Arabidopsis thaliana: one gene and its partners. The protein of the gene in region 1 interacts with the protein of each later gene in a pairwise test. Each region holds a gene or a part of one and is shown on either strand. Other genes may lie near its edges. The genes, in order: SOM, AT2G17600 and AGL49.

What was found.
Region 2: the proteins of SOM (region 1) and AT2G17600 interact in a two-hybrid assay, tested with the Arabidopsis thaliana proteins (one large-scale study listed by BioGRID).
Region 3: the proteins of SOM (region 1) and AGL49 interact in a two-hybrid assay, tested with the Arabidopsis thaliana proteins (one large-scale study listed by BioGRID).

The regions. Positions count from the first base shown.
Region 1 is NC_003070.9:952,421-956,716, reverse strand, and holds SOM (Zinc finger C-x8-C-x5-C-x3-H type family protein), read right to left. Parts: upstream 2,428-4,296; 5' UTR 2,129-2,427; coding exon 947-2,128; 3' UTR 573-946; downstream 1-572. UniProt on the Arabidopsis thaliana protein: Probable transcription repressor that functions as a negative regulator of phytochrome-mediated promotion of seed germination. Inhibits seed germination by regulating the expression of gibberellic acid (GA) and abscisic acid (ABA) metabolic genes.
Region 2 is NC_003071.7:7,653,938-7,658,011, forward strand, and holds AT2G17600 (Cysteine/Histidine-rich C1 domain family protein), read right to left. Parts: upstream 2,283-4,074; coding exon 540-2,282; downstream 1-539.
Region 3 is NC_003070.9:22,118,440-22,121,713, reverse strand, and holds AGL49 (AGAMOUS-like 49), read left to right. Parts: upstream 1-1,784; coding exon 1,785-2,639; 3' UTR 2,640-2,740; downstream 2,741-3,274. Other genes in the region: UMAMIT35 (Nodulin MtN21 /EamA-like transporter family protein), read left to right, coding at 1-164. UniProt on the Arabidopsis thaliana protein: Probable transcription factor that may function in the maintenance of the proper function of the central cell in pollen tube attraction.

The DNA of each region.
Region 1 (4,296 bases):
GTGCTCATATATTATAATATTATGTAGTCAACACGTCTCGATATGTACATCTGTCGATGACATACACATGCCTCATATGAAAGCTACTAGCTTTCGTGTGGTGTCCAAAGAAGAACAATTGGAGAACTTGTCGCACCTTTTTATATACAAAAAAGGATGTGACATATAACTTTAGGGAGACGGTACTAACACAACTGTATTCTCGTCTACCAGGCACCAGCATAACCAAAACATAACACATTTCAGGGTGAGGGGGATGAATAATTCGAGAATTGTGCATAGGTACATTCATAAAATTAAATCATAAACATAACACGTTTCAGGGTATACGATGAGATGAAACATTTATTTTCAAGAAACGCATATCTTAATATCATTTATAAAACTTAATAGCGTAAACCGAAAACGCAATGTGATCAATCGTCCAGTGATATTTTATACGTTTAAAAGCTTAATACAAATTAACTATAAAACAAAAACCATCAGTTAATCAATATACATATCACAATGATGAAAACAGACGAAGACGAAAACAAAAAAGAAGATCAATATACATATCAATATTCAATTGTGAGGTTGTAATGTTCAAATTGATCTATTAAAGATTTAACAAAGTATACATGAAAAGGGAAAAATATCTATAGAATTGGTGAAACATTGCACAATCCGAGTCCACAAGATATTACAAGTTCAACATATTATTTGGTAAAAATCCCATCAGAAAAAGAAAATTCTAAAAAATAAACGACAATACACAAGACACTTCTGAATTAGCTAAAAAAAAAAATCTTCAAAATAAATTTGAACAAACAATCTCTCCATGCATTGACCAAACCGTTACGAACCGATTATTCTCCCATGATTCATGAATGTGATTAAAATTCTTCCACCGAAATTTACATTCTCAAGTCAGATCTCCTCCCGGCGAATCTCCACCGTCAATCCCTCAAGTCAAGAGATCATTGACCCATCCTAGATCAGGGTCACCACAAGAACCATCCTCAATGTTAGTATTCTCCCTAACGGCCGTCATCGCCGTGAAATCGTTCATCTGTCTCCGGCGAGGAGTGAAATCATCACTGAAGAAGTTCGCCTGAGGTGAGTTAGTTAGGTAACTTGGAGTGGAAGGCGAAAGAGCAAATTGCAAAGGGCTACTTGGTTGTTGTTGCTGGAGATGGAGACGCTGATTGCTCAGACCGCAGGACGACGCAAACGCGGCAGCCGCAGCGGAAACCGGAGTTGTAACGGGCGACGAGGAACTCGCCTGCAGCGCTTCCGCTAAGCTCATGGAATCCAAAGAATTCACAAGCTCGCTCAAAACGTCTTTATAGTTCATTGAACCAGCGGCTGCAGCGGCGGAAACGGCAGAAGCGGCGCGGTTCCTCAACCGTGAAAAAGCAGCGGCTTTATTAGCCGGAGACATAGGTGGAGACAGAGACGGAGATCGAGAAAGATGAGACAAATTACCCAAAAGAGTGCTCGTGGGAGAGCTGCTACAAAACAAGCAACATGGATTCTTCGCCGCAGGAGAAGGCGACGCTGAGACACCGGAAACGTTCTCCGGAGGAAGAACCCTAAGCTGACGTGGCGAATGAGCAAAGAAACAGACTTTCCTTTTACAGTGTTTACCGTCTTTACAAGCTTCAGTACGGTAACGAATAGGATGGAGCCAACACTCGAAGACTCCATGAGCAAACTCACAATCATCTCCACGGCTACAATCACCACCACGACGAAACTCGGGACAAACCTCACCGGAGTATTGAAAGCGACGAGGGTCACGACGGCGAGCTTTCTCACCGGGATGAGCAAAAGGACAATCAGTCCAATCGTGGCTTCGGCTACGAGTGCAACGACGGATCTTGAATTCGAACATCCGGAAATGATCACTTGCGTAAGGATCATCAGAGTCAGAATCATAACAGTACTCTTTATTCTCTCTGTTGTTGTCTTCGTTGTCTTCTTCATGTTCAGATGTAATCTTGTTGCTTTTGTTCCAGTTATGTTTACGCGGCGAGCGAGGGGAAGAAGAATCAGAAGGAAAACTCTTGGAAGATAAAAGAAGCTTTCTCGGAGGAATCTCCACCGTTGGCTTCCTCATTTGATGTTCCGTACAAACGACATCCATGATGATATAATATCTAACTTGTTTTTTTTGTTTGTGATGTGTTTTGGTTTTGAGGGATTTGTGTAAGATGAAAGATGGGATATTGTGGTTTATATATATGTGGATTGAGTATAGATATAGACATGAGAATAAGTTAAAACGTATATTTAAATATTGTTAGCTTTGGATTATTATCATTAAATAGAATTTTGATGAGATGTAATAAGAAGACAAGAGATTAAAAAGTGGAAGGAGTCGTGTGAAGGGTATGGGGAGAGGGTTCGTGGCGAGATAAGAGAAGAGTTTTAGAGAGGTTTCATGCAAAAGAAGCAGGAGCTGCCTTTCTCTCCTTGCTTCAGACCTAACACATGTGCCTATGTTTTCATCAGCATCATCCTCTCTTTCTCTCTCCCTTATCAACATCCATTTACTTTCTAATTTGTTTTTTTGTTAGAATTATACTTGAAAGTATAAGGATAAAACAACTAACTTTATAACAAATTAATTATAATGTATGAATTTGTCTTCTAGTTTGTTACCAAGTAGGCAAGTACTTTGTGACTTTGATACCAAAAATAAGTAACCACCCCATATATATGATTATGTTACTGTTTGATAAGTATTCTTGTTTGTTAAAGCGATCAGCATTTGAAGTATTATTTTTCCTTACTTAGGATTATTATTTAAAGCAGTTTTACTTATTTTTTCATATATTAATTTGTATTTTTGGATTTTAAGTTAAGTGTTCATATTTTTCTTCTTTTACTTAATTTTATCTCTTAGAAGAAAATATTTTAACAAAAACTTAAAATCATTAATTTTTACTCTCTTGGATACGTAACTGCTATGTAAAATAACGTAGTACATAACCGAATAAGTATCAGTATGACAGAAAATCGATCAATATATCATCTAAATTAAATGAGTAAATTGGTAAGAAAACAATTAACTGGTAGATTTAGAAACATTAAATTTGGTTCATCCCCTCGGACTATAGGTTCAATCACGTTTCAAGATCATAAAAGCGACGAAATAACAAATATAACGAAATTCAAATATAATATTCTTAGCTTGTTTTCCTAAGAACATAGTTTCACAACTTCGAAAAGTTTATATGTAAAGAAAGACGTTCTTCAAACTTAAACTGTAGAACACTTTAATTATGTAAAGATCTTCCATATAAATAATTTAACCACAACTAAACTGTAGAACACTTTAATTAATTTTAACTTAAAATTAAGAAATATTAATGACTATAATAAAAAGAACTCGTACAACCTATTTATAAAAGACCTAGTTTAATTAATTTCTTGATACAATAATACAATCGCATAATTTGTCTGAATAAATTATACACGAACTTATAGAAGATCTTGTATACAACGAATCTAAGAAGACTTTACAACACAGAAAGGATATGCACGAGATTAAATACAAAACACGTATAAAAAAAATACGTTTTTTTATTTTGTACGCCATTTATCAGCGGAAACAAATGATATTTAATTACTTTTATAATTTTCAGTCTATCTATTAATGTATCTAAAAATCGGGTGCATGTGTATGTACAAGTGTCACTTTTTCCATTGTTGCGTGGCTCTGATGGAAGCAAATACATTTTTGGTTTCTACCTTCACAAGTCTTCAACTCCATAAATTAATTATTTAAAATACCAATTTCTAACTTTTATGCCAAAATTTTGAAGAATAAAATTAAGTTCCGAAATTGTGTGTTTTCATTTGGAATCGGATAGAAGAACCACGACAAAAACAGATATACAGATGAAAGCGGTAATTTACATTTAAAGTATAAACGAGAAATTAACTAATATTGTTTCGACGGCAAATAGAACACTGGTTTTGTTACATGACATTATGTTTCGGTTTTGGCAAGTTCAATGTTTTGGGACTGGTATCTCATTTTGTATCTAATTTTTGGTTATGTCCTTACTTAAATTATGGTTCCACACAATCCAAAGCTTCTCATTTTGTATTTAGTGATATGATTACTTATATATACAAATAGTAAACAATAAATATATATATGTTTACTGAAAAATGCAAAAACATGTACCACAAATTTCTATAATAGTTACAAATACATTAATATCTTCATAGTTCTCAAAAATAACTATCTAGATGTAATATACACATAACACAACTTGTAATTTGTTTTCTTTCTTCTTCTCG
Region 2 (4,074 bases), on another chromosome or scaffold:
TTTCCCAAACATGTCTTGAGAGACTATGATAACCTATATGACAGCAATTAACCTGAGTTTATTATTAGTGTTTTTTGATTATTTAGTTTCAATACGTAAATAATCCAACGCATCATATGTCACCCAATAATTTTATACCATTCGGCTCTATGTAGACTTTGGGCTTTGTTTCTTGTTTATGTTTCGGCTAGGCTATCTTTTTTTTTTTGTCAAGATTTCGGCTAGGCTATTTTAGTTTATGTAATTGTGCATGAATTGATTTTTTTCTGCTGGACCGTACATATGGAGCGGACCATGTCTGAAAAGTCGAAGCCATCCAAAAGGAAAAATAATAATATATTTGAGATGAAAGACACGAAGTAATATTCCTACTTACAGTATTAAGTTTGTAATATTCATGGTCCATTTAACACTAACCAAAATTTTCGGCTTTATTAACTTAGGTTACATTGTTGCCTTATGTAAACTCAAACACTTAGATAATAAATGTTGAATCTATTACAAAAGAACTCTTCACGGTCCCAAAAACTATATAAGGCTTATTCCTTTTCGACATTGTCAAAACTTTCAATGTCAGATGTCCAAACACAAAGCCAGGAACAAAAAACCTTCTCAAACAACTTGTAGTACACCGAATCCGGGCAACGATGATCACACTTATAACAAATCGGTCGAGTATGACTATTGTTCCCAAGAATTTTCATCGATGCAGAGCCGAAATAGAATGTGTAACCTGACTTAATATAAACGGAAGATCCGAATATACACTCAAGGTGGATAGTGATACAACATTTGTTGCATGAGTAGAACCATTCTCTTGGATTCAATTCTTTCTCGCATACTTCACACCAATATGCTTTCTCTGCATCTTCTCCATAGCAAAGCGACAGAAGATGTGCATCATATTTGTAGTATAACTCATATGGAATGGTCGCACATCGATAACACATAGCAAATGAGCAAATAGTACATTGCAGATAATACTCATCACGAACACTATCTTTGCAACCATCACAAGAAATGTTTCCTTTTCTAGAATATGATGTGGAGATGAATAAAGGATGTTCATGACTTTTGTGGGTGAAACAATCAGGAACTAAAATGCATCGAAAATCTATCTGAATTGTTATCTCATCATCGCAATCAGTTTTTGAACATTTGTACCTGAAACCAGTGGACTCACGGGCGCAAGTTGAACAACTTGTGGAACTGTAATCGAGTATAGGAGAAGGGTCTAGAACAAGAGGATGCTTATGCAATGCATGAGCCAATTTTCGAGGAAGACCAGCACATACCTCGTGAAGAAAGAAGTCACATTGCACACAGTTGTAGAAATCATAAGAGTCGATACGAAGGATGCACGCTTGACATTGTTTCTTTGCGTCTCGGACACTATCATACTTCTCAAGCTTAAGGTGATGTTCATGACAAAAATACTTGATCATATTATCACCCACTTTCTTAAATGGCACAATATCTTCAGTTTCATCGAGTTCTTCTGGTTCCCATTCGAGTTCTCTTCCGTCCCAAACGTGCATATGTGTTGCACATTTGGAATGGGCAACATAAGAGCAACCTTCATGATCGCAAGAATACTGGCCATATTTGATGTCGACTGTCTTGTAGCAAACTCGACAAGATGGAGTTGTAGGTGGAAGGAAAGGAGTGTGAGAGAGACGATGTGGGTGACGCGTTATTTTTATGACACGCGGTAAGTTGATACAACTCTCATGAACCAAATAGTTGCATTGGAAACAAGTATAACTTGGTTCCAACAAACTAACCAGCTCACAAGCTTCACATGGAATTAAGAGGGGCCAAGGAAATAAAAAGAGGGAATGATGGTGGCTTTTTGGATTTGTAATTGTAAGAGTTGGAAAGTTTTGGGAGCAAGAGAGATCTAAACAAAAGTTACAAATAGAACAATGATAGAATTGAGATCCATCTCTCAAATCATCTCCACACCAATTACAATTTTTGAATATGTAACCATATTCGGGGTTTTTAGATATGATCTCTATTTCAGTGTTTTGAGTGGTGAGGGTGAGAGGATGTTGAAGGTGATAAGGGTGTGTGAGCTTCCTCGGATACACGTGACAAATATCGTGGAACTCCACATCACAAGTGGTGCAGGAGTAATGGAAGGTAGAACATGGTGAGGGTTCTTCTTTGTCGCATGCGAAGCAACCCGATGGAGGGATTCTTCCGGCTCTACGGGAGAGGGTGTGAGAGTGAGTTGGATGAGACAAACGACATATTGGCTCTTCTTCATTAGCAGCCATTTTCTTTTTCAAAGTTTTGGTTAGGATCCAATCTGTTTATCTAAAATATGATTACTTCCATCGTGTGGAGATGACTTGACTAATGTGGACACAACTTATATGATTACGACTAAATAATGTAGACCCAATATACAAATTATGTGAAGTGCAAATTATACTATTAAAAATGACACGAGATTAAATTTAATACAACTTCATTACATGATCTGTCTCTCCAGACTGATATCATCTGTGACAACGAATTAACAAGAATTTCTTTTGGCCAACAAAATTAATTAATTCCACTGTTTATTAATTAAAAGAAGAATACGTAGATACGTAAGAGTTACAGGGTGTGAGCAAGGCCAGGGTAGGGTGGTTTGGCCCCCTTCACTTACCATTGACTTTTAATAGAGTGGGCTGGGCTTACAAAATTTATGTTTGTTATGTATTAGTTGATCATATATTATTTCATAGAAATTTCAACAAAGAATTCATATTTGTTTCATCCTAGCTGATTTGGTGAAAAGTCGTTAATATAAATATATCACTTCACAAACAACAACAAAATAAATACTCCCTTTGTTTTAATTATTTGTAGTTTAACCAAAAAACCTTTGTTGCAAAAAACAACAACAAATTATCTTCTATGCAAAAATTAAATGTATTTAATAATTTTTGACCAATTTTATTTTACAATATGGTTTTTTAATTGGTTGAATTAGTTGTAATTAATGATGTTTTATGTAAACAAATAAACTAAATGAGATTTTGATGATTTAATCTGTGCTCAAAACCTTTAGAGTACAAATAAATTACAACAGGAGAAGCATTACTTTTAATTATTAAAGCTCGTCATTAGTAACACAGAAACAAACAATAAAATGTGATGGCCGTTGTTATCGCTCATCCTTGTCGTCCATATTACTTTGCCTAGCTGATGGACTATATCTGAACGAGGAACGGCCAATTTAGCTAGTTTAGTCCATTTCTTTTGAACAAAGCAAACAATAAAATTTATTTGAATCAATTATGAGAAAGCCATTTTTTTTTAATAATCTTTGTAGAATTGCCATTTTGATTTTGGTATTTTAAATTTGCCACTTTTGCTGAGACAAAAAAAAACAAACAATTTTGCCCTCTCCATTAATCACACATTCACCATTTCGGTTAGTTTCTTCACAAATTCATATGTTTTGTCTAATATATGTAATATGTCATGTATCTATAAAATAGATAATATTTATCAATTAATTATATAATTACTGAATTTCATAAAGTGAAAAGAAATAAATAATATTTTTTTTTTTTTGTCGTCAACTTTTCATTATATTATGAAAAGAGATACATCAAACAGCGTTCCAAGATATTACAAAGACAGAGTTTTGTACTCTAGCTGTTTTTGCTAATCGATCAGCTTTAAAATTAAGGACACGTGGGATTTTTGAAAAACCAATCGATTTGTATCTGCGGCAATATTTTCGATGTCCCGGAGAAATGTTGCTATCGGTGAATACTCACACGAATGTGTGGTTCTGGTTATTGGCTGAAACAGAGCTGCAACATCACCATGAAAGATAATGTCTTCATAACCAAGCCTCTGTAGATGAATCATTGCTAGTTTAAGGGCTTCAGCTTCTGCTTCAAGCGGTGTGCTGGTTGGGGGTATAGACGACATTCCTCGCAGAACAAATTGAGCTTTCCTATCATAGAGGATCCATCCAATGCCTGCACAATCAGTAGGAGATATCCATGATGCATCCACAAAACAGCAATATTTATTTGCTTTTACGATAGTGTTCTTAAAGTCTTC
Region 3 (3,274 bases), about 21 Mb from region 1:
TAGGAGCTGCTATAGCAGGAACTGGATATCTATTGATAATGTGGAGTCAAGTTCAAAAAGATGATCCAAATGAAACGGTGGAGAAAAACGATAATCATCAATTGGATTCAGATGAACAGACAACTCCACTTTTGCTCGCGAATGGTGATTTTGATCAAGTTTAATTCAGAAATGGTTGTTCGCCTAATGTGTTTAGTTGTGTTATGTTAAACATAAATTAAGGGTAAGTAAATCGAAGAAATTATATATAAAAAAAAACATATGTGTGTGAAGCAAAACAAATATATATATAAAGTCTTGTAACGTTTTTTTGTATGAGAGGAATGTATCAAAGTCTATCAAAATTAAAAGTAAATTATGAGTTAAAATAAAACGAAAAAAATATAAGTTTTACTTTTTATCCAAATAAAACTCACGATGCAATCATATATGCAACCTCAAATGAGGACTAAATAGTAAATAGTTGTTACTTATATGAAACTACTTGAAGGTCCATCTTTGGCATTCGTCTCACTATAAACGGGAATGATCCGGTTGATCTAATTTAGTAATTTATATCAGTTCCAAGAGAATTTTCACAAACACTGAACCCAACCAAAACTCATTCGATATAATCAAACTACAATAAAAACAGTTCAAATAGAAAAAAAACCATAAATGACCATGAAAACAAATTGTGGTTAATGTTTTTGATATATAGCTACTAAAACAGTCAAAATTGTTTAACATCCAATTAGCTACATCTTTTTGCAGCACCCACCGCATCTGCAAAAAAAATGAATAAAATCCAAAACCGAGGTGAATGCTGAATCAGACACAAACCAGTTGTGGAGAGTTTGGTTGAAGACATGAATTCAAACCCGAAACAGACTAACCAAAAAGCTTTTCTACGAACTTTTCTTAAAAAGACACATTTGTTTAGTCATTAACTTAGAATAACTAACAAAATTATCTCTAAGCATTTGGAGGGTAATTATGCACTCAATTAGTTGCCAAATTATAAGTTGTATTGAAGGAGAAATTAGGTAAGAGGAATTCTTGATTTCGAAGGCGTTGGACTCGAATTACCCTATTTCTCTATCAATCCAACTTAATTTCGATTCTAGAATTCCTAGGGTTTGAAGAGTATGTTGGACGGTTTGTGGGATCTTATCTCTGAAAGCAGTGTTCTTATTGAAAAATTGGGAAAATCAATCGTCTCTCAGGTTTTTACCAATTACATGAGTTGTGAGTTAATTAAGGTTTAACGTATATGACCAGTTGTGTTTATGTTCTGCTTTGTGTTGTCCAATTATTGAGACCTTTTTTTTTTGGGCAAATCCAATTATTGAGACCATGTGTAAATGTTATTACTTTTTAAAGCAAATATGTAGGTAAATAAAAATAATTGACTTAAGCCAAATAATAAAATTGACAAAACCACTTAAGAAGACTGCGTCGATTTATAAAATATTTGTTGGCAATTAATTGAGGAAAAATACAGTTACGCGTTTCATAAAAACTAAATAAAATAGGATGAAGCAAAAAAAGGAAAATATCACTACGAGATCTAATGAAAAGACCTCACAAGATTTCGGACGCGCATATTAGATATGATTTTTTACGCATTTTCACCAAATTATGACCGTTGTGGGATTGAGGAAACCTAATCTTCTAAGTCTCTATATATTAAAGAATCATCATAGCCTTCTCGTTGCACTTCCCATTACGATCGAAAGTTCTCTGCTTTTTATCTCTCTCTCACGATTTAATCAAAGTTTCATCTTCTCTCTCTCTTTCAAAAGATGGCTCCTCGTCAGAAGAAACCTAACAAGTCCGATGATGATGATGGTGATTTGCATAGGAAGAAACAGAGCTTTTTCAAACAGAGATTTCCAGGCTTTAAGAAGAAAGCCTCAGAGCTCTCTGTTCTCTGCGGCAACTCTGTCGGTTTCATCTGTTACGGTCCCGACAACGATCTCCATGTTTGGCCTCAGTCTCAAGATCATAACCCACAAGCCCTACATGAGATCGTGGCCAAGTTCAATGCCTTGAGTGATGAGAGGAGGAAGAATCATGCATGTGATCTCAATGACTTCCCTCATCATCTCAAGGGTTTGTCTCGTGAGGAGTTAAGGAAGCATCTCCTTCACCTTGACTCTCAATTACTTGGAGTCAGGGAACAAAAGATAGAAATTCTTAAGAAGACGCTCACGGGTTCTTCCGAAAAAGATGGTGCAAGGGTTTCAGAGAACTCGGCCATCTCCGATCACAAGTTGAAGATAGAGCCTAATTTGACGGATATATTGTCAGAAGATCATCTAATTAGGGTTTCAGATAAGAAGCTGGGTTCGTGTGATGTATTTGACGAGTTGGCTTACGTGGTCCGCGGGTCAAGGAATTTGAACGAGAATGTTTCCAATTACGAATCAAAAGATGCAGCTTACACGGGAATGGATCATCTTGGCACTTTCGGCGGTAATTATCTTCAGGAGGCGGCGGCAGAACTTTACCAAACTTACAATCTAGGGAATTTTTGTGATGATCATGTTTGGGATCTGGAGTTTGCCTCAAGACTACCACCACTTCATACATTTAGCGATCCTCTCATGACCACCAATACTTGCCAAACGATGAGCTCCGATATGATTTCAATTTGATAACTTGATGACTACGTTAGTGAAATCATGTTTCTTTCACCTTTTCTCGGTGATTGATCATTTTTTAGTATCTCTTAACTTGTATGTTTGCTCCAACACAAATCCATGTTTGTAAAGTTGGTAGTTTTTTTTCTTGTTTATTATTGATTAATCAAACTTTTCCTTTCTTTCTGTTATTCTTTCTCTGTAACCCTATTTTGACTGCAACACCAACTTATCAGATAAACAAAACGTTGTAAACCATGCAAGAAACAAAGAGTTCATAACCTAAATTGCACAACTCGTTAAAGCTTCTAGAGCAGGGAATGAAAGTTATACATACTTGTTCAGATGTTAATTCACTGTCAAGTCTTGGAGATGCCTTGTTTTTAATGACGGATGACACGTTCTTTATGTCAATCTAGTGTTTGCTTCAGCAAGTCTTTCTGTCCCTCGACCTCGTGTTTACCAAGTCAACATTCCTAATCAGCATTCTCATAATTAGAACGAACTTCAGTGGAGTAACTCAACTGATCAACTTGTGACGTAAACACAAAATAAAGTACCCATGAAACTACATATAAGCTTTGTTCACGATCAAATTCATAAGCATATCCATGAATCAAATCCCCAAAACTTCAATTCTACAAGGCTTG